Linked DNA regions of Drosophila melanogaster. The protein of the gene in region 3 purifies or fractionates together with the protein of the main gene of each other region. This does not show direct contact. Each region holds a gene or a part of one and is shown on either strand. Other genes may lie near its edges.

Region 1 (7,681 bases), on a different chromosome or scaffold from region 3:
CTTAATTACAATTACGTTTTGCATTCATTAAGAATTCCGTGACCAGGTTTCATGCGACTAGCCCAGCACTGTGGGCTCCAATGGCACTACTCATTCATAAGTCCAGATAACAGCGTTGGAATTGTAAAGTACCCGTTTTTGGGTTCTATGTTTACCACTGTGCAGCGCGTTCTATTTGACATTAAACTAAAGCGATCTTTATCGCGGTGATTTGGCGAAATTGAACGTTTTTCCCACATTTCAACTCTTTACTTGTTCATTTCTCTCCGCATTTTGGGTTGATCCTCATATCGTACCATATCGTTTATCCTAAACCTTGTATCTCGAGTCCTCTATCTAATCAATCATTTTCTTGAAGTTCAAATCAAAGGCTTTAACTTGTTGAAACATATTTCTTATTTTATCCGCAACTCTTTTTTTCTCACCCAGCCAAGGCACGAACATGTCCGACGGCGTCAGCATCTTGCACATCAAACAGGAGGTGGACACTCCATCGGCGTCCTGCTTTAGTCCCAGCTCCAAGTCAACGGCCACGCAGAGTGGCACAAACGGCCTGAAATCCTCGCCCTCGGTTTCGCCGGAAAGGCAGCTCTGCAGCTCGACGACCTCTCTATCCTGCGATTTGCACAATGTATCCTTAAGCAATGATGGCGATAGTCTGAAAGGAAGTGGTACAAGTGGCGGCAATGGCGGAGGAGGAGGTGGTGGTACGAGTGGTGGAAATGCGACCAATGCGAGTGCCGGAGCTGGATCGGGATCCGTCAGGGACGAGCTCCGCCGATTGTGTTTGGTTTGTGGCGATGTGGCCAGTGGATTCCACTATGGTGTGGCGAGTTGTGAGGCTTGCAAAGCGTTCTTTAAACGCACCATCCAAGGCAACATCGAGTACACGTGTCCGGCGAACAACGAGTGTGAGATTAACAAGCGGAGACGCAAGGCCTGCCAAGCGTGTCGCTTCCAGAAATGTCTACTAATGGGCATGCTCAAGGTAATTTCATAGTCCCGAGTTAAAGTTCCTAAACTCTAATCGCTTTAACTTTTCAGGAGGGTGTGCGCTTGGATCGAGTTCGTGGAGGACGGCAGAAGTACCGAAGGAATCCTGTATCAAACTCTTACCAGACTATGCAGCTGCTATACCAATCCAACACCACCTCGCTGTGCGATGTCAAGATACTGGAGGTGCTCAATTCATATGAGCCGGATGCCTTGAGCGTCCAAACGCCGCCGCCGCAAGTCCACACGACTAGCATAACTAATGATGAGGCCTCATCCTCCTCGGGCAGCATAAAACTGGAGTCCAGCGTTGTTACGCCCAATGGGACTTGCATTTTCCAAAACAACAACAACAATGATCCCAATGAGATACTAAGCGTCCTTAGTGATATTTACGACAAGGAATTGGTCAGCGTCATTGGCTGGGCCAAGCAGATACCTGGCTTTATAGATCTGCCACTTAACGACCAGATGAAGCTTCTCCAGGTGTCGTGGGCAGAGATCCTGACGCTCCAGCTGACCTTCCGGTCCCTACCGTTCAATGGCAAGTTATGCTTCGCCACGGATGTCTGGATGGATGAACATTTGGCCAAGGAGTGCGGTTACACGGAGTTCTACTACCACTGCGTCCAGATCGCACAGCGCATGGAAAGAATATCGCCACGAAGGGAGGAGTACTACTTGCTAAAGGCGCTCCTGCTGGCCAACTGCGACATTCTGCTGGATGATCAGAGTTCCCTGCGCGCATTTCGTGATACGATTCTTAATTCTCTAAACGATGTGGTCTACTTGCTGCGTCATTCGTCGGCCGTGTCGCATCAGCAACAATTGCTGCTTTTGCTGCCTTCGCTGCGGCAGGCGGATGATATCCTGCGAAGATTTTGGCGTGGAATTGCACGCGATGAAGTCATTACCATGAAGAAACTGTTCCTCGAGATGCTCGAGCCGCTGGCCAGGTGAAAAGGATTATGCGGGCGCCCAAACTAGTTGATCTAGCTGATAAGCAAAGGTGCAAATATAGTCTTAGGTATATATGGATGTATACTAGAGTAGATTAAGCGTAGGATAAGCCATGTATATAAATAGTAAAATACTTGTCGGGTAAGATTAGTTCGCAGAAAAAATCTCTTTTAATGGACTACCAACTACAGCAACTGGAAAACCCTACTTATCTTCTAGAATCGGGGTGTGCTTACACTGGTTAAAGGCGCATATAGGTGTTATGTGTCTAAAGTTGTGAGTCACAGATCTTCAATAATTTGTTCAATTCTCACTGGTTCTGATATATGTATATGCCGCAACCTTCTGATGTAACGTATGAATTTGTGGGCACTTTTAAAATACGATAGTGGTTCTACAATACAATGGATTATACTGTTTCTAAGTGTCATGTAACCCAGTGATTCTGTGTCTATGTGGTACACATGCGGTCAAAAGAATAGCAATGTCGTCCGTGAATAATAAACCGTTTGTAACTGTTGTTTCCATACTCCCTAAGTTCTGTATTCTTTGGGGATTTTCTTTTCCTAAACAAATTCAAATTAGTTTTCTAGAATTCAGTGCATTTGATCGCATTTATACATCACTATTTCCTAATCCATACATAGGCTGATATATCGCAAAACTTCAAAAAATTAACCATGACAAAGGTATTCTGTGGTCCTTGAGGGCTTACAATTAGTGCTAACGATGGTCATATTTACATTTGCAGACTAGAGACGTTCCATCATCACCAATTAGAGCTAAGCCCAATTAATTCTACGGTGTATGTGTATCAAAGTACTTGTTGGAGCTTTCCTGAAAGCGATCGCTACGCGCCAATTCGTTGCGGAAGTAGGAGATGGTCCGCTGAAGTCCAGTCTCTAGGGGAACCTTTGGCTCCCAATGGAGCAACTGGCGGGCTCGAGTTATGTCCGGTTTTCTGCGCTGCGGATCATCTTCCATGGCCTTCGATTGCTTTATCACACTGGGCCCGCCGACCAGTTTCTTGATGATCTCGGCAAATTCGCCGATTGTCTGCTCCACAGGATTGCCTAAATTCACCGGCTGTGTGTAGTTGGATGCCATTAGGGCTATCATTCCGTCCACCAGATCCGAAACATACTGAAAGGAGCGCGTTTGTTTGCCATTTCCATACACCGTAATGGTTTCATTCCTCAGCGCCTGAAGTATAAAGTTTGACACCACTCGTCCATCGTTCATATGCATTCTCGGTCCATAAGTGTTAAAGATGCGCGCCACTCGGACTTGCACTTTCTCCTGTCGATACAGATACATTTAAAGAGCAATTAATTTGACTCCCAGATTGCTGGCCAAGATCAAAAAATGTGGTCAGTGCTCGCGCTTGGAAATCTTATCTCGCGTCAGCCAACCGAGCGGAACATCAATTAATAGCATTCCAATTGAGATCATTTAATGCTCAACTAGCGATCGAAACAGGAAAAATCTGCCACATTTCTGGATCTCAGCTAGTTTAATGTTTTTTTTTCGATCTGGCTTAGGAATGTGGTTATCCAAAAAAGTATATATATTGCTAAAGGTATTACCTGTTTGGCATACGCATAGCTCAGCGTCTCGGAGACACGCTTTCCCTCGTCATAACAGGCTCTCGGTCCAATAGGGTTTACATGTCCCCAGTATGTTTCTGGCTGCGGATGCACTGTGGGATCGCCGTACACTTCCGAAGTGCTAGCTATCAAAACCTTGGCCATCACGCGCTTGGCCAGACCTTTCAAAAAAGATATACTCGTTAGGTGTAATCCTTATTTTCTTTGATTGATATTATAAATATTTACCCAGTACATTGATCGTGCCCATGGTGTTGGTCTTGATGGTCTTCACCGGATTGTACATGTAATGCGGTGGCGAGGCTGGCGATGCCAAGTGGTAGATCTCATCGATCTCGATGAAAAGCGGATTCACTATGTCGTGGTGGATGAGCTCGAAGTTCTCGTGCCCCAGCCAGTGCTCGACATTTCGCTTGCGTCCCGTAAAGAAATTGTCCACCACGATGACCTCGTGCCCCTGGACCATCAGATCGTCGACCAAGTGGGAGCCCACGAAGCCAGCTCCTCCGGTAATTAGTATGCGTTTGCGATTCTTATAGTTCAGGTATTTAACCTTCGGATACTTGCGCGGTGTGCTGGTCTGGAGGCTACGAACTTGTTCCTCCAATCTGGCCAAATTCTCCCTTGTGCGCTGGAGTTCGGCCTTTTGTTCTCGAATAAGAGAGCTCTGCTCCTCGTACGCCATCTGAAGGCTCCTTTGTAGCGGACTTTCCGTGGGCGGCCATTTGGCCTGAACCTCCTCGACGCCGGGAACGGAAACGGCGACCTTTCCGCTTGGGCAGAAGCTGGCCATTCGGTAAAGGTAGACCAGGAGCAGGAGGAGCAGCGAGATGGCTGCAACGATCTTCAGACGCTTTTTGGTGGCAGTCATCGTCGGTTATGGGTTGTGTACTGCAGGGTTCCAGTGCTTATCAGCAACTGATATCGCCACATTGCATTCTCGTTCGGCTTTAGAAACTATATAAACAATACAATTGCGTTATCAGGAGGTGCCAGAGTGGCCAGATGGCTCAAACGGAATTTCTAAATGGATTAATAATCTAACGCCAGGGAAAAGCTCCCGCCTAATTTTAAAATTTACATCAAAAGTATCGACAGGCGAACATTTTGATTTTGGATTATAAATTATAATGAATTGATAATGAATTAGACATTTTTGTTGGTGATCTTCCCCAGGGACGAATATTTTTCGTTTTAACGATAAAAGGTCGGAAATTGCCAAAAAATGAGTTTGAAAACTAAATTTGTTTGAGGGCTTTCTTAGGCTGGTCAGCAGGGACTACTTTCCGAATAAAGTGTTTGCCCAAACGGCTATTGAAGGCTATTTAAACTGCCAACGATGAGCATCGATCGCCAGTCGGGCAAAGTTCTTAGTGCCAAGTGTTGTAGTGCTCAGCATGAGGCTTCCTTGGGTGATTTTCTGTACAGTTCTGCTTTTAATTTTTACGAACAACTCAAATGCAGATATTCCCGGGTGCAACTACTACGACACGGTTGATATCTCATACATTGAAAGGCAAAACGATTCGTATTTATATGATGACATCGAAATTCCTGCTAGCTTAACTGGATACTACGAGTTCAGGCAGTTTGGGGACGGTTCGATTACGCCGATTGAAAAGCATTTAAGGGCCTGTGTTTGCAGCGTGCGGCCCTGTATTCGAATCTGCTGCCCAGCCAAGAACTTTTTGGCCAACGGAAAATGCGATGATGGTCTCAAAGAGGAGCTCGCCCGGTTCAAACCCTATATATACTTCACATACATGGACCTACAGGCACGAGTACCACTCACCGATATGGCTATTATCAGAGATGAGTTCTTTGATTGTGATGAAATGATTTACATCAGCGACTTTAACTATTTCTTAGAAGAGGTTAGCATTCAAATCTTCAATAAATGTGGACTTATAGTTTGGTTCCAGGATGGAAAATTTTGGGTTACCGTTGACCTCTTCATGGAAAAACAGGACTACTGCTTGTACCGGCACAACTTTGATTCGGATTTTCCAAAGTCCATGTGGATAATACGACACCGCTGCACAAGCCACATATCTCCTGGATCCTTAGAGAGTAATTCAATTATTATTTATAACAAAAGTCATCAATATCGTTTTCATAGCTATATAGAAAGAAACGAAAATAACTCCTTATTGGTGTGCAAACTGCTGACTGCATTCTGTGTGCCCTTTGCAAGTTTTTTAATTACAATAAGCTGGTTTTTTATTTCTTATATTTTCTTTTTCAGTTCTAATTATAACAATGATATGCTTTGTCCTAACAATCGCAGTATATCTATACATTAAGAAGCTGCGAAATGTTACTGGCAAGTGCATTGTATGCTGTATAGTTTCGAGGTTTATCCAGTGCTTGATCATGATACTAGATCATTTAAATCTATTGAATGGCATTTGCTCTCCAGCTGGTTAGTTCGAATTGGAGATATCTCTGGAAGCTTTAAATGTTATATCGTTGACTTCTTGCAGGTTACAGCTCGCACTTTTTCCGGATGGCTTCCAACCTCTGGCTCTCCGTCATCAGCTACCATACGTGGAAAGTCTTGACGTCGCTCAATCGAGTCGACCCTAACTATCGGTTCCTGCGGTACAACGCCTTCGTCTGGAGCACAGCCGCAATCATGACGGGAAGTATTTATATAGTTAATCAGATTTGGGAAAACGATCCCAGTAAATGGAACTGGTTGCCTCTGGTCGGTTTTATTCGGTGCTCGGTCAAAGGTAAACTTTCAATGCGATTGCTTTTAAATCGTTACCATGGTTACGTATTGCTTTTCCATATCAGATTGGCACCCATCCGTCTGGATCTATATAAGTGGACCGTCGCTGGCCCTGAGCACTTTCAATGTCGCCATGTTCGCCCTGACAGCCATTTACATTAGGAAAGTGAAGGGGGGTATAAATAAGTTCACAAATGAGGAGGAGGGAAGGATTAACTGCATAAACTTTGACAGCCAGACGTAAGATATGATAAAACCTTGGACCTTGGTAAACTAGTTATCCTTGCCGTATTATCCACATAGTTACCTACAGTTCCTGCGGCTCTCCATCGTGATGGGCCTTACTTGGATATTCAATGTCATTCCGTATTCTGCACGGCTCCACATTTTCTGGGAATGGGTCGGGATAATATCCGAGTATTTTCACAGCGCGTTTGGAATTGTTTTGTTCGTTCTGCTCGTCCTGAAGCGCAGCACATGGACTCTAATGATGGATTCTTAAGCTTGTTTCTATATAATTCTAATAATTGTTTACAATTAAAGCTTTAAACAATTAAAGCCCCTCATTTTATTAATATCCTTTGCTGAACGAAGGAATTGAATTGAATTTTATTGAACTCAATAAATAAATATAGTTTTAGAAAACGATGTACTTTAAACTGCCAAGAGGTCACCGCGACAAGCTTTTCACTTCGCCACCCTCTGGTAACACTGATTCTCCAGCCACTTTCGATTCTTTAAAAAACATCGATAGGTATCGCCAAAAAAATCAGCTGCTCTGCTTGTAGTTTTGCGATTTCATTGCAATTTTAATTTGCTTTACTGTTCAAAAAGAAATACAGTGCAAAATATGCCGAACGAAAACGCAGAGGACCTCTCGGGTCAAGAGCTAAAGCAGAAGGCCAAGGAGGTGGCCGACGCATCGGAGGCAATGCTCGAAAAGGTTGTTGCCGGCTTAAATATCCAGGACACGGCATCGACGAATGCAGCAGGAAACGAGGATGCGGAGCAGCCTGATGGTGCCAAGAATGAGGCTTCAGTGTCTGCGAATGCAAGTAAGTTTTCAATATGCCTGTGAAAAGTCATTTAGAGGCTCCTCCTGCGGCTGAAAAAATGAGGTTAGGTTTTGTCGGGAACTACAGTCCAACCTCTCTAACTTGAACTGCTGTGCTATTCATTTCAATTCAATTTTCAATTTTCATTTTCTGTGCAATTACTCCAAAGATTAGCCCTAACGGAAAAATAAACAACTCATAAATCATAAATACATATTTGATTTTGATGAAATATGAATATACTTACATAGATACAATTGAGTTTTTTATTACGAATAAAATATGTGTAATATAAGATTTCTACCTTGTTGATTCCATTGATTGATGCTTCA
Region 2 (6,028 bases), on a different chromosome or scaffold from region 3:
CATCGGGAATAAGGCAAACATCTGATTCCTCTGGCTCCAAAACATTTTCCACTGTGTCTATAATGTAAATAGTTCATTCATTTAGTCTTTTATAAACATGCATCAAAGAAGTACTAAGACTTACCATCGCCATGTTCGGCCTCACCAGTTTCCTCGGCATTTTCATCCACCTGCTCCGATTCCGCATCTCCTTCTGCATCCGGATCATCTTCATCGGCGGCCGCATCTTTCTCCCGTTCATCAGGATCTTGGCCATTTTCCTGCTCCTCTAAGCTTGTGTCCACCTCATCTCGGCCCTCCGGTGGCTCTGCATCCTCCGCCTGGTGTGAATCTGCGCCCACGGACTGCATATCTACATCATCTGTCGCCTCTCGATCCAGAGCTGCGTCGTCTTCTGCTTCCTGCTCAGCTTCACCTTCTGCATCCACCTCGCCTTCATCCACATCCATTGCTTCGGGTGAAGCGGGACCGCCGTCCACAGCATCTGCTTCGGCGGCCGCTGCCTCCACCTCTTCCGCAGTGGCCTGGAGGGCATCAGTCTCCTCCTCCGCCTCCTCGGGCTCTTCCTGTGGATCTACCCTCACGGCTTCTGTTTGTGGCTGCTCATCCTCACCGCCTTGCGGCTCCTCGTTGGGCGTTGGCTCCTCGGCGGGCTCCTCCGCATCCACGGGATCAGCTGGTGTACTAGCCGCCTTATCCCGCGACTGGTTATCATCGGCGTCTAATGATCCCTCGGAGATCTGTTCGAAGTCGTCATCCGCCTCCTTGGAAGGAGGCGGTTTGCTTTCCTGCGCAGCTGCATCCTCCGCTGGCGGCGAGGCGGGCGTATCCAGAGTTTCACTGGCCGCCGGAGCAGTCTGTTGTCGATCCTGATCCTGTTGTTCCTCCGACCTGGGGGTGGCCGACTCCGGTCGCGCATTGGAATCGGCGCCGAACGAGTCCAAACTGGATATCTCCTCCATTTCGCTGCTTGATTTTTTAACCGACTTTCGCTGTACGTTTGTTTATATAGACATGAAAACTGCAACAAAAGGAAAACAAACAACAAATGGTTAGGGCTCGTCTATCGATAACATTCGCGGCGCGGCGGACTATCGGCTGGCCAGGGCCCCACACCATTGCCGCCTAAAATGTGTACACACACACGCACAGGCACACCGACGCACACACACACACACTGAGCCCACGGTACAGTGCACGAAAAAACAAAACATGCGCCTCCAGAGAACAAAAAAAGTGGGGAAAAAAGGAGGAGTGTGTCTGTATGCGCCGCTCTGCCAGGCAATTAATATTACTGCACTTGCATTATCTTTTTTGGCCGCGTTGCATGGGCGGCTTTTCCGTACTTTTTTTGCTGCCTTGCCGTACGGTACTTCGATAATCCGCAATCCGAGCGCCGACTTTTTTTTTCGGACAGCACGAGTTTGTTGTGGTGAGCGCGTCTCCACAGGCGAATTAACTGCCTTTCACCGCTGCGCGTGCGGGCACATCATTAACGGTCGGTTCACGGTACGCGCAAAACTTTTCATCAATTACCAAACACCTTTTTGCACTGTGCAATTTCTCGCTTTCTGGCCACTGTGTGAATTTTCGGCTTTATGCGAGTAAAATGGCGCACTAGTGTACCAAATGCGGCCCTCGCATAACGCGTTCGCTTCTTGGCTGGTATCTGCCGGAAAATACCGAAAATGGCGCATAAGAAAATACCGGCGTGAGTGGTGCAACCGGTTGGCAGCACTGCTCGTTTATCTTTTTGAAAAATGCTTCTAAAGTTTGGATCGCTTTTGATCAATAGGAAATTATTGAAAACTACAACTTAAATATAGACTGTCTTTCATCTAAGCTTCCCCTTAGATGAGCTTCCAGTTTGCCATATGCAAAAGATACCCAATACAATGCTAATGAGAACTGATATTTTATTGGCTTATTTTTTTTAAATTTTTGGGTTTTATGCGCGAAGCTTTTGGGAATTCCAAGTAGTTTTCTAGTTTTGATTGATGAATCCCTCGGCGTCCAGAAGAACATTGGGGAAATACTTGATAATTTTGGTGAAGTGCGGGAATTTTTGCGTGTTGGCGAATGTAATCTCATTGATCTCCTGATACTGCTTTAAAATCGTGATGAGTTCATCGGGAGGCACTGCATCCGCCACCAGCCAGTGCTGGATGGCGTAGTTTAGAGCATAGACCGGGAGTTTCATTAAACTGGGTTCGTGGATCAATGATGCGCCTTCCTCTATGATTTTCTAAAGGATAACTAACTAAATTAAGGCTCCATTTTATATTCCAATCTACTAACCTCGATGCAAACGCGCTCCACATCGATGATGTTATGCCGGAATGCTAGGTCGAAGGCAGGAAAGATGCCATCCAGAGGCAATTCCTGCTCCTTTAGTTTCTCAGCAAAGGAGCGAAGGAGCTCCGGCATGTTGTACGCGCAGGACAGGATGAACATATCCCCCACCAGCTTCAGCTGGACCAGCGGCGAGGTCACCTCGAAGGTGTATATGAACTCCAGGAAGATCTCCACGCTCTCGGGCGAAACCCCATTGATCTGGAGTACGCCGTTCCAGTCCTTGTTCTGGTACACGTCCTGCTCCAGTTTGTCGGAGGCAGTGGCCAGGAAGATCCGATGGCAGCCAAATTTCTTGTAGCACACACTGACCGCCGGCTCATCGGATTGGGGGCAGTTGCTCAGGACGTGCACCTGGCAATCGGCATCGGCTCCACTGCGAAAGTATTCCAGTCTGCGGTTTCTACTCGTAGCGCGTTTGGACCCATCACTCGGAGAACCCAATGGTAAATTCTCCTCAACATCCGATGCAGCTGTGGTTCTGGGCACAACGAGTTCCGGCCTCAAGTTCTGGATCCCTCCCTGGTCGTTCGCCTCACCCTCCTCCTCCTCCTCCAGGTCGGACCACCGATTGTTGCTTCCCAGGTGGGCTTTGCCGGCGGCCTCCTTCTCAGAGTCTGACATTCCTGCCAGGGAAACCCTAATTTCGAATTCCAAATTTTGTGCTATGTGAGAGCAAAGCCTCCAAAAAATCCCCAGTCACTATGAACTGCAAGCTACGCCGCCTGGACCTGTTGCGGAATGGCCAAAAGTCGGACTGCGAGCTCCATGTCTCGCAACCGGACAAGTTGAAGGAGGGCAAGCGTTGTCCATGCATTTTCCGCTGCCACCAGGTGATGCTCATCTCCGCCTCCGCGGAGTTCGAGCGCCTGATCAGGGATCCCGAGTTCCAGAAGAACAAGCGAGTGATCAGCGTGGACGACGCCTCTCCCACCGCCTACGAGGCGTTGCTCCTCTACATCTACACGTACGAGGTGTGCAATGCGGTGACCATCGACATGTGCGGTGACCTCATGCTGCTGGCCGAGCGCTACGAGATGCTGGACTTCATCGACTGCTACATCGACAAGCTGGCCCACCAGGAGTGGCCCATGGAGGTGGTTCTGCAGGTCTTCCACCTGGCCAGCGAGCACCACCATCCGGCACTGATGGATCTCGTGGCGAAAGTATGAATTTCCGCACTTTTATCTCGCTTAATCCCCATACCATTCCAGAAAATCCTCCCCGTAGCCACGCAGGTGCTCATGGACAACTCGTTCCTCAAGCTGAGTGTTAAGGAGCTAAAGGCTCTGATGATAATCCTGAAAAAGGATGGAGATCTCTCCGATCACGAACTGCTGACCTCGCTGAAGAACTACCAGGATGTGAACAACCTGCGCTACGAGGACATGGAGCAGTTCCAGCAGCTCGTTGAGGTAACCCAGTTGTTCGGTCACGTTCTCTTCGAAGTGGATGGCACCATAGTTGTGCCCGAAGAAGAAAAACCTTCGCCGGAGGAATAGATAGGTTTGCTTACCACCCAAGGAAATAGACAGGATGGTGTACATATCTAGAGGGATCATTTATTGGATTAGGGATCGAAAAACAAACAAAATCGAATTCATATCGGCTTAAAGAATAAATACTACCTATAAACATAATACCCGAATGGGCCGAGGCCGGTGCAACAAAATAATCTTATAAATCAATCAACGGAAGCGGATGCCTGGTATCCGGAGTCCTAAGAGGACGTGCGCAAGGGCGTGCGCACTTCCATCGGCACCATCGCCACATCGCCGTCGGATTCACAATCGCCATCCCCATCGGCGTCCTCGTCAATGACCAGGCAGCTCGGCTTAACGCTGAGAAAGTCATCGCTGTCGAGCATCACATCCTCGTCGTCATCGTCGTCCCCGCTCTCGGACAGCTCCTGGTCGTGATCCGTCTTGTAGCCGTTGGTTTGGGACTGCTCCGGCAGCTGTTTTATCGCAGAAACAGGTGTATCCATCTCCCTCTGAATCGGACCAGCAGTATTGCTCTCCAGTTCGATGTTTTTTGAATCAAACTTGCAGACGACCGCGATGCGCAGATTCAGAATCAGGGAGTAGAGCTTCACGGCCGGGCCCACCTTGAGTTTCAGGTACGTATCCAACTCCTTGCGCCCCAGCATCAGCAACGCCCTGCCGTCGATGTCCTGCTCGAAGATCACCTTGGCAATGTCAGTGGAATCCAGGGCACGCTCTATGTACTCGCACACATCCCAGCTGGTCCAGTGGAGTGGATTGGTTCGCACGTCGTCCAATTTGAAGGCGCTGTTGAGCTGCCAGAGGCGATAGTTTGGCAGGAACTGTGGTCCATAGTCCTTCACAAAGGACCTGGCTATGGCCAGGGAGCGTTCATCCGGCACCTGCTCCGCATCCTCCTCCTTCTGCATCTGTTTCTGCTTTTTCACAACCTTCTCCTCACAAGGAGACGTCTTTCGCTTGGCTTGCACCACTTCCGCGACCTTCGGGTAGACAATCTCTTGTTGGGAGTCCTCCTTAATGGCTTGCTTGGCCTCCGAACAGGCACGCTTTGTTTTCTTCGCCCATCCACGTCTGATATTCTCGGGGGCCACACGCGGCGGTTTCACCGTTTTGGAGCGCCACTGACGCCAATTTTCCGGCGCATACGGACAGCATTCCCGCAAAGCATGCACGTTGAGGTTGAAGCGCTTGGCGTTGCCAAATCCCCGACATCCCTCCACATCGCAAGGCATCACGGACTTGGGCTGAAGATAGCCAGGCGGGGTTTCCAGTTCGTGCGAGGTGGCCTCGCACCAGCCGATGGGGTGCAGATCGGGACTGTCGTCCTCCAGCCAGAAGTAGTACTCCGTGGGCCAGCAGTCCAGGTGCAGCTGAACCCGGTAACCCTTCCGCGTCACCACGGTGGCCGGACGAATTAGGCAGGGATTACGCTGGTCCACCACCTCCAGTTTCATGCGTTCCTGGTACTCCATTGGCTGGCGTGGTGTGAACAGCTCCTTGGAGGCGGCCATTCCACCAACCTCTGATATGTAGTCATCCCAAATGAAGGCAGACTTCTGGTAGTCCGGCGGAACGATCAACTGCTGGCGTCCCTCGTGCCAACCGCAGGGATGGATGTACGGTGAGGTGATGTGTACCCACAGGTCGTAGCAGTCATCCCAGCCGTCGAAGTGGACTCGAATGCGCTCGTCCAGAATATCCGTCACTGTGGCCACACAAATCTTTCCCGTATCGTTCAGGTCCTCCGCCTCGAGATGCATGCCCACAGCGAAGCCGTTGCGCACATCCATCTGCTGCTGCATATTCAGATGACCAAAGAGCGCCCGCGGAGCTGCCTTGCCGCCCGTTTTCACCAAATAGCGGCTCCAACTGAAGCGCTCCGAGTTGTAGTCCTTAGGCGCCTGCAGAACGCGTGCTGTCTCATCGCACCAGCCTGGCGGAAAGATGTCCTGCGAGTCGGCGTTCACCCAGAAGTCGTACATGGAGGAGTAGCCATCGAAGCTAAGCTTCAGCCGATAGCCGCGCACCTCGACAATGCTGCAGACACAGAAGAGCGAGCAGTTCTCCGGATCGATGGCCTCTAGCTTCATGCCGATCTCGAAGCAGTTGGGACTGATGGGGAACGGATTGAGGAACAGGTGGATGGGCGCTGCCACATCCTTTCCCTTTGA
Region 3 (8,166 bases):
GCGTGCACCAGAATGGTTGTACTAAACGATCTTAAGTCCGCACGTATAACGTGTCCCATCTAAAAATCGGCACCAGGCGGGGGGTTGGGACTACGGATCTCCTCCTAATACACTTGTCATGATGCCGCTGTTTGGGTTTCGATCTCATCAAACGAGTTACGACGAGTCAATGAGAGCGAAGTTATGATGCTCGGAGTCACGAATCGATTGACTAAGTTTCGTTAAGCTTTTTTGGCAGGTTTTGGTAGACTTTGATACCCTACCGACTCTATAGGAAATTCACTGGGGATTCCAAATTTATCAAAAGGCGCTACACCGAATACGGTTATAAGTCGCATCATATATAACACGACAAATCTCCTTTGAAAGCCAATGATTGTGTCAGTAAAACGCTGAAGTAGTATCACATTTCATGCTATCAATGTGACTGTAAAATTTAAAATTTCAATCAATAGAGATTTTGGTATGATTTATATGTTTTAGATTATACCTTTAGTAAAAATTCTATGAGCTTTAAAAAAGCAAATAATAATTAGTAGACTACCATTAAATGGACTGCCTGAAATTTATCCCCATAAAAATCCCCGTAGTGATCGCAGAATTCCCCATAATATCATTGTTTACATCCATTACAAACATAGAGAGCTAATCTAACTTTGGTTTTAGTAAAGCTACTTAACCATTTACCCAATCGGGCTTATGCATTATTGAAATCTTAGCTCGCTGTACCGAATTAATTGAGTTTCGATGGCCTAATGTTTTATAGATTCACCCATATATCGTGCTTGGCACAATAGGTTCGCCACAAAGCGCCAAAAATATATCCGTTAATAGATCCATCGGTTGCAAAAATAGCTACCTGTCGTATGCAAATCGATTATTGGTTTATGTAAATTGGAAAGTTCTGCCGCACAGCAGCTCTTCCGTTGCCGAATGATGCAGCATTTTCCGATCCCAAACCGAATTTCCATCAACCCCCCCCCCAGCGAAGTGATCACGCTATGCTCCACTGGCAAATCCGTATGATATCTGTGTTTTTGTTTCACCTTTCCGCTTTTCACGTGTCAGGTGGCAGAAGGGGCGGAGTATTGGTTGAAAATAATTGCCAGTCAATGCAATTACACATCCTCCGTCGGATTTTATCGGGCGGGTGTTGTTCGACCAATTACAATCCGTTACACATTTTTATTTGCAGCCCAGCGAAATGAGCAGTTGTTCTAATGGATTACAGATTCGTACTATACTATATAGACTTTCAGTCTGCATCTGATTGCACAAGTTTGCCGCCGGACTGGTGATGAATGATGCCCGGGTTCTTAATATGCAAAACGTGCTGTTTGGCTTGAACTTGGCCAACATGTCGACTTTAGTTCCTCAATACGAAACTAAAGGCTTACACCCCCTCAAATTCAAGTTCAAGTGCCTGTCGTTCAATGGAAAACGAACGAACTGCCGCCAAATTGGCAAGCTTTGTTGGCCCCGTCAGTGAGCACATAATCACATAACTAAGCTAAGTACGACCTATTCGATGTTGGCCATACTAAAGTCGACCGATCGCAATTGGCCGTTCGAGCGGCCCGTTGCGCATGTTAATTGCGGGCCAATAGCCGATTTTGGCTCAGATGACATTGACTAGGGTACTTCCACCCATTTCCATTGTAGCCCACTCTAGAACTTGGGTATTCCGATGGTGAGTTTCTGCGGTCTTTCAACCGAACTCATCAGGAATTAAGTGCACACGAAGAAATTATGACGTATTCCGCATATTTGATTAATTATCAACAAATTTATAATGATTATTCAGTGCAATAGTCAAATTTATAGCATCTTTCACTTGATTTTTTCTTTTAAGAATTCCGCATAACTTAAATATTTTTTTTCAGTGCTGTGAAGCTTAAAACGTAGATTTCCTTGGGGAATTCTGGAAGTGCGAATACGAACGTCATCGTCAGATATATTTTTATGCAAACTTTGCACTTCGAATGCCAAATGAACCCAATCGAATTGGGTTGTCTTAGGTTCGCAGTTTAATTTTCGACGTCAGATCGAAATTTAGCAGCCATTAGGAGCCACCTGTTAGCATCTTAACGTGATGTGATCAAAAGAAAGGTGGCAGGTGCGTCAGTTGACCACCCGAAATTTTGGCTTTTAGCGCGGCTAATTCGAGGAATTTTCCTCGCCGCTTGATGGGGGAGGCAAAACGACATCCATCTAATCTAATCGATGCTGTCCCTAAATTAATTACGAGTCCATCAGTGGCTAATTTGCGACAAGCGCCATAAAGCAATAAGGCCCAATCAGGGGGGGGACTAAACCATAAATACTAATCTATAAACACTGCGCAGAGGGTAAATCCTCAAATCAGATTGTCAAAACATGACGAAAACAGAGGCCACCTTTTGATAAGGGGCACAGATAATTTCTCCGGCCGATTTAAATTCCTTTCCGCTCCAGCACACTGGAGCTATTCGCTTGAAATTGTAATTGTCACAAATTTACAAAAAAAAAAAAAAAAAACACAACATGTGAGTTTAAGTGCTGCAACAAAAACAAAAAGCCTCAGGCATCAGGTTTCATCATCTATTTATAACTTTTGGCTACAGCGTTAGGTGATTAGTGGTAACGCACCATGAGTTATTTTTTTTTGCCATATCTTTTTTATGTTTATTTTAATTTACTTTTACGGTTATGTAAATATGTTTAATTTTAAAGCTAACTAGCACATATATTCATTATTATATTATAATATATATTTTTTTCTTTTACTTTCGTATAACTGATTTGGGTAAAGATTTGAAATTTTAAACCAAGCCGTTATCAATACGCCTAAAATCGCGATCAAGCCGCACAGAAATCGCACTCAAAACGCGCCAAACGTGAAAAACGCGCCGTATGAAATCGCGTGCAAGCCGCAATACTCATTTATCAAAACCAACGATCAAACCTTATTCTATACAAACAAACATGTGCGCAATTCGTTCGAAAATTCGTTTTCTAATTTATTAAAGAAATTGCTGAAATACTACTATACAAATGAATGGAGTAATACACTTAACTAACTCGGAAAGTTTTTTATTAAAAATTAAAATACAAATAGTTGTTAGCAAGCACACAAACCGATAATAGCAAAAATATTACATTTTTGTATCGATTTAAATAACGAATGATTATGTGACAACGTCACATACGGTCACACCGAACCAAACGTGCGTGAGAGTTTCCCAATTTTGTACGTGGAAAAATCATACGTTTATTATCACAAAATCTATACAGAGTGCTTTGCGTTTACCGACATTTAATATATTTTTTAAATTCCTCGTCGCAGAAGACAAACAAGATGGCACAGAGCAAATTGAACGATCTTGCCGGCAAGCTGGGCAAAGGTGGTCCGCCGGGATTGGGAATCGGACTGAAGGTCCTGGCCGCCGTGGGAGCAGCCGCCTATGGAGTCAGTCAGTCCCTGTACACCGGTAAGGATAAAGCCGATAGGATAAAGCCACCGATTTGAGGGATAAAACCATAAACACGGGCAATAGCGGCATGTGCACATAACCTCAAATGATTACAGAGTGCATAGAGATGTTGCTTTGTGTGTGTGTGTTTCTGCTGTTTCCCGGATTTCATAACTTCCAATATGATTTGCAATATTCTTATTAGACTCTATCTAATAAGATGCATGTGAGGAACATGCATTAACTTATCAGTTATCCTCACTTTAATTACTTGTTATTGTTGGCCAGTCCCACATTTCATCTTCCCATGATTGCATAACAAACTCCATTATATTTGTGTTTACTTTCGGGTCTTAAGTCCAAAGTAATTACATATAAGTTATATATTTAACTATTTACTATACTATGTATGCAAACCCACTCACTTGATTAATTCTCCTTTCAACAGTTGAGGGTGGTCACCGCGCCATCATCTTCAGCCGTCTGGGCGGCATCCAGAGCGACATTTACTCCGAGGGACTGCACGTGCGCATCCCCTGGTTCCAGTATCCCATTATCTATGACATTCGCTCGCGTCCCCGCAAAATATCCTCGCCCACTGGCTCCAAGGATCTGCAGATGATCAACATCTCGCTGCGTGTGCTGTCGCGCCCCGATTCCCTGAACCTGCCCTATCTGCACAAGCAGCTGGGCGTGGACTACGACGAGAAGGTGCTGCCCTCCATTTGCAACGAGGTGCTGAAGAGCGTGATTGCCAAGTTCAATGCCTCGCAGCTTATTACCCAGCGTCAGCAGGTAGAAATCTTCATACTAACCATGGTTAATTCAGTTTGTATATAGTAGTTGTCTGTTACTAGGTATCCCTACTCATCCGCAAGGAGCTGGTCGAGCGCGCCCGCGACTTCAACATCATTCTGGACGATGTGTCCCTCACCGAGCTGAGCTTCGGCAAGGAATACACGGCGGCCATTGAGGCCAAACAAGTGGCTCAGCAGGAGGCACAGCGGGCTGTCTTCTTTGTGGAGCGCGCCAAGCAGGAGAAGCAGCAGAAGATTGTTCAGGCTGAGGGAGAAGCCGAGGCTGCTAAAATGATATCCTTTTACAAAACACTAACTAGAACATTTTTTCCCTTTTACATCTGACTAAAAGGCTGTTAGTATGTTGTGAGCTGGAAAAACTGTATTGTTTTTCTGTGTTCATCGTTTATTTTTGGCCTTCTTGAAATATGTAAATAGGGATTATGCTTACCCAATTTATTGCCACCTACTGGTTCTTCTTAACTGATATGTTTACTTAGGTCTGGCCGTGAAGCAGAACCCAGCCTACCTGAAGCTGCGCAAGCTGCGTGCCGCTCAAAGCATTGCACGCACGGTATGATTAATCTTTTAAATCTCTTCTGATTTAAAATTAATGAAATGCTTTTCCCCTATCAACAGATTGCCAGCTCACAGAACAAGGTCTATTTGTCGGCGGATAGCTTGATGCTTAACATCCAGGACTCTGGCTTCGATGACATGACCGAGAAGGTTTACAAAAGTAAATAGCTCTCGTTTTGATTAACAAAAAGAGTTTACTTTTAAGTTGAAAACACTTGTACTTTTGGTTTCAATCACATTGGCCAAAACTTAGACATAGCCTTCATAATTGAGTAATTTCTAACGCGTTTTCCGTACTCCATCTCTCTTCCTATTTGCCGCACAAAATTTCGTTCTGTTAACGTTTCACCCGATCGCGCAACCCAGTAGCCGATGACCTGGACTAGGAGGCGATCCACATTCGTTGTTAATTAATTTTTATTGAAATTCCTTCGAGCTAGAGCCTAAGTACCGTTTAGTTTTAACCACTCCCAAGCGGCGCATTGGCTTCATTTTTTCACGAATTATCTGCCAAGTGCTAAGTCCTTGTCACCCGGAGGCAGCTTCATCCCACATCCGTTCACTGGGTGCCAAGGATTGAAACACGGCCAGGCATTTTGTGGACCAATGATACCAATGCGGGCAAATGGCCGCATCAGCATTTAACTTTCCATGTCCCATCATCGAGAGTCACGTGAAACGGAAACTGAAAATAAATGCGTACTGAGAACTGTCTGAAGATCGTTGTGTCCCCCTTTATAGATTGCAACTGATTTCAGCTTCAACTGCCGGGGCACACCACTCGTGAAAAAACGAAGCGGCGTCCCCGTGCAGCGATCCCTCCACTAATCCCAATCCACCCAATCATTGCAGTTGGCACCGGTCTGCCCAAGGACTGGTTGGACGCGCGGAAAATGGCCTCGAAGGTCGCCCAGCCGGCGGAGAAGGAGAAGAACGTGGGCAACGTGGCGAGCAGCATGGCCGAGCGGATGATGTGATCCACACCTTAGCGGGGGCTTCCTGTCAAGATCCTAGTACAAAGCGCATACAGAACAGAGCCAAACAGAACGCCGACTTCGTCGCATACGATTACGAAACATTTACTTATCGTTTTAATTGCGTGTATAAAATACATAAGAATAGTACATAAGAGTGTATACAGTATATAATTTAAGTGTATAGAGGTTTATGTATGTAAATTGTAGGCAGATTAGGTTGCTTCTCCAGGAGTTGTGTCCCCGCGGCATTCCCATGTTGTGTGTGTGTGAGAGATCTTGACTAGAAACATGTGTGTGTGTTATGGGCATGCATTCACTGCGATGTTCATCCTTGATGTTGAGCAATCGAACCACCGCCCGGGGTCTCCAAGTCATATAAATATTCTTAAGTCTATCCATAACGAACTCGAACAATCAAATTCCTGCATTAGGCGCGTGGGGTTAGCTTTGTATGTGAGTTAATTTGTAATTGTTAGGTGGCTTAGAAGCGACGCGACATGGACCAGGATCAGGCCGTCGCCGGTGGCTTTCCTCCTCCGGATCCGCTGGCCCCGCTGGTACTTCCGCTCTCGCTGCCACTGCTGCTGGCATTGCTGTTGGCCCTGCGGCTCTCGGCCAGACCGGGTGTGTCCCTCCGATGACGACGCAGCGTGGAGCTAGCCGATGGCGCGGAACTACTCAGAGCAATGTTGGCCGTAAAGGCAGCAGCCTCCGCTCGGCTCGGAACGGTTAGAGTGCCTCCCACGCCCGATGACGAAGGTATGACTCCACCGGAACCGATTCCGTTAATGGTGCTGTTGCCATTGCTAGTGCCGCTCGCTGCAGCTGCGGCGAAGGACTCGGTTATGCTGGCCAAGGGTCATAAGTTCGTCGTCTGCACCAGTCCACGCTCCAGATGGAAGCACTCCAAGACGGCGGCGCCGACGGAGCTGCGTCGAGCCACCATGGCGTTGACCACGCTCCACTTGTTTAGCCGCGTATCGTATCGCTCCACGGAGTTGAGCGAAGAGCTGCCATCGTTGCCGCCCAAGGCGAAGAGGGCACCCTCCACCTCAACCACTTCATGGGTGGATCTGGAAAAGAACCGAATTATTAAAAAAGGGAATGAAGTTGGACTATTTATGAGGTATCCTTACCTTCGCGAGTGCATTGCTGCGATGGGTTCCCAGCTGTTCCTGCGCAAACTGAATCGCTCTCCGCTGGACATGCACATGGTGCCATCATTACCACCAATGCAATACAGATGCCCGTCGGTGGAGGCGACGCCGCAGCTGCTCCTGCGTGCCGACATGCTTGGCACCGGTTGCCAGCGACCCACTCTGGGATCAAACCGCTCCACGCTCGACTGGTAGTTGGTTGAATCGAAGCCGCCCAGACTGTAGATGCAATTTTCCAGCACAGCCAGTCGGCAGTACCTTCTCCTTGTGCTCATCGCCGGACAGGAGCTCCAGATGCCTGTGAGCGGATCATAGCGCTCCATGCTGCTCAGACAGGAGGCGCCATCGTAACCGCCACAAACGTAGATCAAGGCATCGTAGGAGCAGATGCCCAGACAGCTACGTTTCGTACCCATTGGGGTGATGTTGCTCCACTTGTTGGTCAGAGGATTGTAGCTCTCCGCCGTGGCCAGATCACTGACTCCATCGTAGCCGCCGACCACATACAACTGCTTGTGCAGGGATGTTACTCCGGATCGAGATCGTCGCCACAACATTGGTGCCACTGGACTCCAAGAGTTAGAGCGCGGATTGTACACCTCGCACTCGTTGTGAATGGCGAAGAGACTGCCTCCTCCCACCGCAAATACGTAGGGTTTCATGCCCTCCGGACGACGCTCCTGGGTTCGCTGGCTGCCCATTATGCTGCGCTGCTCCGGAAGCAAATGGTACTTCATGGCTTCCAGCAGCAGCTCCTTGCACTCGGAGTCATCGCGCATGAGGGTCTCCGTTTCCACGCAGCTCATGAGGAAATCCCTGCTCACCAGCGGCAGTCTGACGTTTGACATCAACTCGGCAATGTGGAGTCTTCGTGTGGGCAGGTCATGTTTCACCCAATTGATGACGGCGGCAAAGACTCGCTCCTCGGAGCTGATGTTCAGCTGGCTGTTGGAGATCAGCTCGCGAACCTCCTCGAACGGCAGCAGCAGGAACTCCTCGGTACCCACAACCTGCTGGAAGTTCTGCAGGGCGTACTTATGCGACCGCGTGTGCAGCTCCTTGCAGGAGTGGGCATCTGCGAAGCTGCGTATGCCCAAGCAGTTGGAAGGATGCAGCTGGCGCAGCAAGAACTTACAGCAGGCATCCCGCACCGAGTGCATCTGCAGCAGTCCGGACGCGGGCAGCAGCACCTGTACGTTCTGCT
Region 4 (8,453 bases), 400 kb from region 3:
TCCCAGGAGCTTTTCTACAACGCAATTTGTGCAGGTTAATAGAAAACGACTATTTTTGTATGATTTGATACAGGATCAATCAAACACACAAAAACCCACACTCACACACAACGGCACATACACATGCTCACACATATGAAATTGCATTTATACAACATATAGAATACGAGAATCGAAACAGACAATTGACCACGCCTTCAGTTCCGTTCCCCGATGTGTTGGCCAAACCCCGGCCACTTTATATATAAAAAACACTTAATTGCCAATTTCTTTTTATATAACCATTCTTCATTGCAACACATAATATTCTAATTAGTTGAAGCTCCCTAAAAGTAAGCAGAAAGTTCAGCAAAATGGTTTGTTAATTGAATTAAAACTGACTAGCGAAGCACGTTCAAGAACGAATGTAATTTTAAGCATAAAATGTTAATTATTTACATTTACCTTCTATCTACCCCCCGTTTTGATTACACCATACTCAATTTTCGTATTCGGAATTTCCATTTAAACCCTTCCCAATTAAGTGATGATTATTATGATTTATGCGAAAGTAAATGTTAAATGAACGTTGATTGTATTGTACAAACGTTTCTTACGTTGCGGGGCGAGAGTGGAAGTGGAGATGGCGATTTATTTGAACAGCAAATATAAACCTTACCTAAATTTAATAACTATATTACCCGCACGCCTGCTCCTACTCCTACTCCCTAATCCTCTAGCGTTCTACCATACACACAGCCATGATACAGAACCCGAAAAACACACACACACACACACCGACTCTGTTCACATTTCAAAATGAGTATCGACATTTTAATTTTGTGCAATCCCCTTGATTTATATTAAATTGTTTTCGACTTATATTTTCCACTTAAATAATTTTCTTTGCGCCGCGGTGTAAATTGTCAAAAGCAAGTAAAAGATTTGGAACTCTTCCAGTACTTTGTACGAGTATCGGGTGATGGTTTTTCAGTTTTCTCAACTCTACACCGCGCAATATCTGACAGTTGAAACACAAAGTATAAGAAAAATTATTAATTTTTTACTATTACTATTCAATAAAAACAAAAAACCATATAAAACCAATAAAAATCGTAAACGAATTTTTTGCTTTTTTTTTGCAACATTTTTATTTTGTTTCACGTTTGTTTAGTATTTCGATTGCTTCTGTTAAAAAAAAATATGATAACACCAAGAATAACAGACCTGATATTGTAAATTTTTAAAAATATACATACATATTTACAACAACTGCATTAGTAATTCTAAGAACGTAAAAATACAAACTATATCAAATGTATATATTTTCCTATATTAACGGACAAAATCAAATGTAAGAGTCGACGGCCAAATGGCAATTGCTGTCTGCAAAACAAAATATTTTCATTAACAATTCGATTTCTAACTATAATTTTCAACCCAGATATAGCAGATACAACCGTATGTCTTATTTCTTTTGAAATACAAAAGTTTTAAACCGAAACTTTTCTGTTTGAATAAAGGCGCGATCTGGCAGCTCTAGGTAGTGGTGTCACAGCGTCGATAACTAACTTAGTTTCTCACCGAGCTGCAACAAGTTTAATTACAATCGATAACGAAGATTGGAGCTTTTAGTGAGTAAAATTTGACCCATTTCTGTTGTTTGAACGTTTATTACGCATTACGTATTTACTTAAGCGATTTTGTGAATTTTTTGTGTGTAGTTATGTGCACGAGAGATGGAATTTTTGACCGAAAGCTGCTATCGATAGTGACATTCCTTCGATTTATTTTAGCAACCATCGATAGCTAAGCAAGCGAAACAAAAAATTATTTTCAACTTGAAAGTTTTGCGACAAGTGCGTGCAGTTGGCATCGAAATAGTTAACAAAATTGCCGCAGACTTCCGGAGACAACGCCGTAATGGAGGACCGTAAGTGTGTGGCATACGGACGCAGTGCATCATTGCAATTCCAATGCAGCGGCACATGTTTCCGTGGGCTCTTGTGACCTGGGCGATTGGGACACCTAAGACCTTTCGGGTAATTCGGGTATCATTACTATTGTAGGACTCTGATTCAGCAGCGGCTTTGCCAAAAGTTTTGGGGGACTTAGAATACACAATGAGTTAACCTTGGTGCGCTGGGAATCAGCAGATGAGTCATGGTTCCGATTTGCGTAGGGTGAAAGGCTTTCCAACTATTCGGATTACCGTGGAAGTTCTGCGACATGCCATCGATGGCAATCCGTTTGGTGGGCGGGGGTCAGGTTCTTTGTGGTGTAAGTATTGCATTCTCGGTTTCCGACGTCCATGCATACGTGGCTTTTAGAAGCGCAACATCCGCAGGGCGGCTATGATATGCATATCATCTGAAAACGCCTCCTCCCACTGAGCTTATCACCATGGTGCCACTATAATTGTTCGGAGCTCTGTTCCCCCACCGAAACCACTTAGTAATTGGCTTCCACTTGTTGACTTCTCGATGGGATTGGGCCTGCCACAACAACAGGCACTTCTGAGCAGCAAGAACTCGCAGCAAACCAGAACTAGCTCACATATATATATATATATATATATAGTGTAGATATAGGGTCCATCAATGTGGCACAGTGGCTTTGTGCTCATACAGTGCTTGATGGTCGGAGGAAGCTGGGAAAAATCGGAAAAATCCAAACTGGTAATTGCTATTTAGCAAGAAGCTAAATTATGAATTATTTTCCTTTTTTTGTTTGGCTCCAACAAAGCGATACAGTTATGTACAGTACGTTTTTGCAAAGAAAAACTTTATTTATAGTTATATTTAAAGTTCCTTATCATAGGGTTTTTCAATTTTTAAAGTTGTTCATCTCCTCACAATTGTTTACTTAATAAATTTAAAAGGTACAATTAAAGAAGAATATTATTCAATTAATAAATTGAAGTCTCGGTTTATCAAAGCTTTTTGACTGATAAAATAATCATTTTAGCTGCAATTAAATTAGACACATATATGTATATCTAGTGTCTTATCAAAGCGTACTTATTATTTATGCAAATATTATTAGCTTTATAACTTTCCCATGCTTATTAATTTATAAATTAAATGAAGTGTAAAGTTGGTTACTATAGAGCTAATGTATTTACGTAGCTGTAACTTTTAGTCAAGCTCTACTGTAGTCTTGCTGGTTGCTACTGCTGCTGCTGCCTGTTGCTGCCCCTTTTGTTTAGCGCTCTTCTTGTGGCATTTCTCGTCTTCGTGCTGACACGAATCATCAACAAGCGGAGCCAAGCGGCCAACCAATCCACATCTACCAATTTCTAAGCCGAGATCGAGTCAGTTGGCATTTGGCTGTAGACGAGCGTGGATGGAGCAGGCCCAGAATCGAAAGCGAAAACGAAACTGAAATCGAAACAGAAACAGAAGAACCACCACAAACCAGCTGCGATCGCATGGGGAGAGGAATTTATGTGGAACGCGGCGGGCCAAGAACTGAAAGCTCAGCAAAGAACGATCGAAGTGGCTGAAAGCAGGGCCAAGAAAAATGTGCTCGCTGCTGACCGTGGAAACGTGATATGTGCTTAGGATTGGGCCAAGACAATATGAGCCTCCTGCGCCAGCAGCTGCCACGTTCAAAATAGAAAGTTGCTGCCAAAGATGAAAGAGAGCGCCGCTATTGCCACAGAATGAGCGAATCGGAACCGAATAGCCTGGAGTTCATTGAAGACCCCTATCTGCCAAGCATTGATGATCTCACCAGCACACCGTCACTGGATCTGGAAACCAATGATGCCGTCTTGGACTGGTATGGCGATGGGCAGGAGGAGAGCGAGGCTGAGCTATATTTGCGTAATCTGACGCTAGACCAGATATTCTACGATGTGGATTCGGACTACACCAACAGCCTGGAATTGCAGGCAGTGGAGGCGGACTTCATTGCCGCCAAGTTGGCCAATCAAGCGCCATCGTCTTCGATGGCCAAACGCTTCCGCTTGAAGTTCTTTGCCAAGCGAACCATGCGCGACGTTAAGGTCACGTTCATAGACTTCTCCAAACCGTATCTGGCCAAAATATCAAACAGTGATAACTACAAGAGATTCCTCAACATTGGGCATAGAAGTAGAGGTACCAAATTCGGTCAGTGGGGAGGGGGGTTGGTGGGCTTAGGTCGGGTCTTTGTTCTGTGGCATTCGCTTTTCCACTTTCAACCATGACTAACCAGACTAACTTCTCTGTTTCTTTCTCCTTTGCCTGCCTTTCGCCTCGTCAGTTTGTGAGTATTAACAAAAACCCAGATCTAACCAATTAACCAACTCATGTCTTTGCAAATTGTACATACTCGTATATACAACTAAATTCGGTGTATTCAGCCTATGACAAAGTCTTTGAGGAAGTTGCTTTCAAAGGAGGTACTTAAACACTACCCGCCGACAACATTGAAATTAAGCTACAGTCCCCACACAGCACCCCAAGTTTTAATGTTCCCTTGGATTGGCATATATTTAATGGCTTTTTATTTCATGTTCAGATAATACAGCCAACCTGTCGGAGCCAGCATCTCCAGCTAATTCTGTGGCATCCGCAGAAATTGCCGCCGAGTTCGCTGCGCTTTCCGTCGAGGAGAAGGAGCAGCGTCGGGCTGAGTGGAGTCAGGTAAGGAAGTTTTCAGTTTTACGATCATAATTTGATTACTCAGCTCGAACGCTAACTTCTACTTCAATTTCCAGGAGCTCGCCCGCGTTGAGGAAGAGATCAATACGCTGCGAACTGTCCTAGCCTCCAAGACGCGCCATGCCTCCGATCTCAAGCGCAAGCTGGGCATCACCGTCTGGAAGGAGGTGACGGACGACGTGAACCAGGGCCTTAAGAACCTCAAGGAGAGCACTGTGTAAGTCTATGAACCGTTCGCAGTTCTGCTGGGCAATTAACCCGACTAGACAGTTTTAATTTCTAACCATGCTTTTTGTTTCAAACTCCTGTTGAAACGCTATAACGTGTATTTATTTAGTTACCAATCGGTGGAGCAGAGCGTGGGCACGTTTACTAAAACGGTGTACGAGGCACCACTGTAAGTAATTGGGTTCAGGCTGATTTTTAATTGGGTACTTTTGGAGTTACCGGACTAACGCCGTGTTTCACGCCACTTCCTTTAACACAATAACCAACTCTCGCCTGTTTGTAACTAAAGCGCACCTATGTTTGCCCACTTTGTGTATGGAGGAAAACTATCGAGATGAGTAACTAATGTTGGATTTATTTGTACTCTCCCCTAGATACCAACGCACTGAGTCGGTGCTAAAGTCCACGGGCGAGAAGACCGCCTCGGTGTTTGGCAGCATCACCAGTGGCATTTCGTCGAAACTGTCGCAAATGAAAAACTCCGAATCGATGCGTTCTATCGAGGCTTCGGTGGGCTCTGCCTACGAGAACGTTAAAGTAAGCTATGAACACAACAATTTTATGTGCCAATCTCATGCGGTAACTACTATTTTATTATATATCTGTCTTTACACATCTCTCATACTGTTGCGATTCTGTTTTGGTTCCCGTCTAACTAACTAGCCACTAACTAACCAACTAACTAACACTAACCACACATCTTTCACACTTGCTCACCCACTATAAACGCACTCTGAATTGGGATACTTCGGTTGATTTGCTTGCTTACACAACGAACTACTCCTTGCGCAAATGCTACTGCACCTCTACTACAATCTGTTCGGTTTTCTGTTCTATTGTAGACCAAGGTGACATCCCGCTCGGGTTCGGTGTCCAGTTTCCCAGATGCCCTGGACGAGAATAACACATCCTCGGGTCTGAATTCACCCACAGACTCACTCCCGAAATAGATTTCGGGGCAACTGCAAGGCCAAGCGCGTCGATAATGTGGAGCAACCTATACTACATACAAACAGACCCACGCACCCACTCTATTAACTTATTTAACTAAAGCGAATTGTCGTGTCTGCGCACTAACAACAGGATCAGAATTAATTTAACCAGAAATCATATGTACACCTGTGTCGATACGGTTTATATAATACTTAATATAACTAAAATCTGCGCGTCAAAAATTTGCCAATGGGAGCACATATTATATGCATCTATTTGTATTTGCCTTGGAGACACCATCAAATTGCATGACTTGTTTAAATTTAAAGCCACGGAGGATCGAAGATCCAAGGGCTTGCTGCATTCGTTTATATAACTATCAATCTAAGTGTACGTTTAAAGACTAAACCACATTGGATGGTCCACCCGATGTCATTCCCAAATGTTTCTAATACTTAGTAAAAACATTAGAAAATCATGCATTGCGGTTAAAGTGAATATACATTTGTTTTACGCTTTTATTTCTTCTCTAGGCGTTGAGTTCCGTGGTTAGATGGCGTTCCCTAATCCGTTGAAAAGCCAATTCCAAATTTATTTAGTACTAAATATTTGTGTTACGATCAGAGCTTGCGTGCAAATAACGAAAATCCATTGGTAAACTTAAGTGGATGTAGTCCGTACTGCTGAAGATTGAGAAAGAGACGAAATCGCACCCAATTTGTTGCTAATGCTGATCAAATTTGCTATATGTGTATGAAATCTTTGAATAAATGCAAAAATTTTTGCCCCATAAAAATAGCGATGTCTTTTTGATAAATGATGTTTGGGAGTATATGTGTGATTACCTTTTCAAACTTAAACTACAGCTAATGAATTAAAAAAAGTTAATTTCCAATTTCATCTGTCAGCTTTAAATATCCCGCCAAAAATTATAATAAAGTTGACAACTCTGATTTAACCCAGGGATCAACGTAAAACAGCTGTTTGCTTTGACGAGGTGGCAACGCCATAGAGGGTTCTTGCATACTTCTCAATTTTTTCTTCAGGCCACAAGAAAATCTTTAGATATGAGGAATTTTAAATGAAAACAGCGAGCAAACAGAACGCATCGTGATGCCGGAAACCTAATCAACCACTCCGAAGTAAAGTGCAATTAAATTACATAGTTTTATACAACTGAAAGCGGCTGGCCAGCCGCATAAAGTATTCGCCTACACCAGCATTGTTCTAAATGCTAAAAAGTTTATTACTCATTAAGCATTTGTGTGCCTAGTTAGTTAATTAATCGCAGCCGAAAGATGAACTTGACGTACTTGTTCGTGCTTATTTGGCTGGCCTTCCTCATCAGCAGCGGCGTGATGCTCTTCTCGCGGGGATTCCTATTGGCCCGGGTGTCCAAAACGGAGACGAGCACCTGTCGCAGGTTGTCCACAAATCCCAATGCTGTAAGTACTAGGTAATGAACGAAATGGGATGCATTTCAAATCCTTTGTCCTCAAACAGGAGTACGTACTCACCGATGAGGTTGTGAACGAAATCTTTAAGGATGTCAACGCCTCCTCCAATCTGTGTCTTCCGCAAAAGTCGAAGGTTATTGTCCTGGTTGTGGATGCACTTAAATATGAATTTGGCCTGTACAGGGCGAATGCTACGGATCCTTTGCCATATGAAAACAAATTGGTGGTGCTCCAGGAGCTGCTGCAGCAGAATCCTGACCACGCCCGCCTAATGAGATTCCGAGCGGATCCGCCAACCACAACGTTACAGCGCCTGAAAGGACTCACCACCGGCAGCCTTCCCACATTCATAGACATTGGCTCCAATTTTGCCTCACCGGAGATCAACGAGGATAATATCATTGATCAAATAGTCAAGAACGATCTACCAGTTGTCTTCCTGGGGGATAGCACCTGGACGGATCTGTATCCTCATCGCTTCAAACGATCGTACTCCTATCCCAGTTTCGATATATTCGATTTGGATAGCGTGGATAATGAGATATTAAAACACCTGCCCAAGGAGCTGGAAAGTAAGGATTGGCAAGTGCTGGTAGCCCATTTTCTCGGCGTCGACCACTGCGGACACAAACACGGACCCATGCACGAGGAAATGGCGCGCAAATTGGGCGAGATGAACGAGGTGATAAGGTAGGCGGCATCACATTTATTGGTAACCGCATATCATCATGTCCATCATTCATTTAGATCCGTGGTGGCGGCCATGGACAACGACACCACGCTGCTGGTGATGGGCGACCATGGAATGACGGCTTCCGGCGATCATGGGGGAGACACCGATGACGAAACCAACGCTCTGCTGTTTGCCTACTCCAAGCAGCACAGATTTTATGGCAATGATTCGGGCTCAGATAGCGAAATGCTGCAGCAGGTGAGATAAGACAACGTTTAATCACGGCGCGTCACGTCACAGTGATAAGCAACGATATTTGCTTTCCAGATTGATCTGGTACCCACGCTGGCCACCATTCTCGGCGTCCCAATACCGTACTCCAATCTAGGCCTGGTCAACTTCAACATTGTACCCGATCTGCGAGTACCGCATTTAAACAAGTTTCAGACCCTTTTGCTTCATTCCTGGCAGAATGCCCAGCAGATCTATCGCTACTTCTTCCAGTACGCTTTGGAGAACAAGCGCACATTCAAC

Evidence for each region.
Region 1: the proteins of Phb2 (region 3) and Uxs purify together in Drosophila melanogaster (affinity purification with mass spectrometry, with the first as the bait; one large-scale study listed by BioGRID). This does not show direct contact.
Region 2: the proteins of Phb2 (region 3) and CG14260 purify together in Drosophila melanogaster (affinity purification with mass spectrometry, with the first as the bait; one large-scale study listed by BioGRID). This does not show direct contact.
Region 4: the proteins of Phb2 (region 3) and CG5174 purify together in Drosophila melanogaster (affinity purification with mass spectrometry, with the first as the bait; one large-scale study listed by BioGRID). This does not show direct contact.

Annotation. Positions count from the first base shown.
Region 1 is NT_037436.4:8,177,791-8,185,471, reverse strand, and holds Uxs (UDP-xylose synthase), read right to left. Parts: upstream 4,550-7,681; 5' UTR 4,432-4,549; coding exon 3,789-4,431; intron 3,722-3,788; coding exon 3,540-3,721; intron 3,253-3,539; coding exon 2,752-3,252; 3' UTR 2,103-2,751; downstream 1-2,102. Other genes in the region: ERR (estrogen-related receptor), read left to right, coding at 430-988, 1,045-1,953; mthl7 (methuselah-like 7), read left to right, coding at 4,958-5,630, 5,806-5,982, 6,044-6,295, 6,360-6,534, 6,598-6,796; Nmt (N-myristoyl transferase), read left to right, coding at 7,145-7,349.
Region 2 is NT_033777.3:27,262,431-27,268,458, forward strand, and holds CG14260 (uncharacterized protein), read left to right. Parts: upstream 1-3,026; 5' UTR 3,027-3,056; coding exon 3,057-3,518; intron 3,519-3,566; coding exon 3,567-3,854; 3' UTR 3,855-3,993; downstream 3,994-6,028. Other genes in the region: woc (without children), read right to left, coding at 1-57, 125-962; CG14262 (uncharacterized protein), read right to left, coding at 1,985-2,245, 2,299-2,976; l(3)mbt (lethal (3) malignant brain tumor), read right to left, coding at 4,073-6,028.
Region 3 is NT_033778.4:18,816,296-18,824,461, forward strand, and holds Phb2 (prohibitin 2), read left to right. Parts: upstream 1-3,171; 5' UTR 3,172-3,229; exon of another isoform or gene 3,230-3,325; 5' UTR 3,326-3,337; coding exon 3,338-3,470; intron 3,471-3,900; coding exon 3,901-4,247; intron 4,248-4,309; coding exon 4,310-4,543; intron 4,544-4,745; coding exon 4,746-4,823; intron 4,824-4,888; coding exon 4,889-4,988; coding exon of another isoform or gene 4,989-4,996; exon of another isoform or gene 4,997-5,194; coding exon of another isoform or gene 5,195-5,214; exon of another isoform or gene 5,215-5,544; intron 5,545-5,680; coding exon 5,681-5,805; 3' UTR 5,806-5,955; downstream 5,956-8,166. Other genes in the region: CG15097 (uncharacterized protein), read right to left, coding at 6,665-6,878, 6,942-8,166.
Region 4 is NT_033778.4:18,419,642-18,428,094, forward strand, and holds CG5174 (uncharacterized protein), read left to right. Parts: upstream 1-3,290; 5' UTR 3,291-3,643; coding exon 3,644-4,094; intron 4,095-4,227; coding exon of another isoform or gene 4,228-4,230; intron 4,231-4,327; coding exon of another isoform or gene 4,328-4,366; intron 4,367-4,485; coding exon 4,486-4,610; intron 4,611-4,684; coding exon 4,685-4,845; intron 4,846-4,965; coding exon 4,966-5,025; intron 5,026-5,230; coding exon 5,231-5,435; intron 5,436-5,698; coding exon 5,699-5,806; 3' UTR 5,807-6,322; coding exon of another isoform or gene 6,323-6,364; 3' UTR 6,365-6,580; downstream 6,581-8,453. Other genes in the region: PIG-O (phosphatidylinositol glycan anchor biosynthesis class O), read left to right, coding at 7,088-7,234, 7,293-7,936, 7,994-8,177, 8,247-8,453.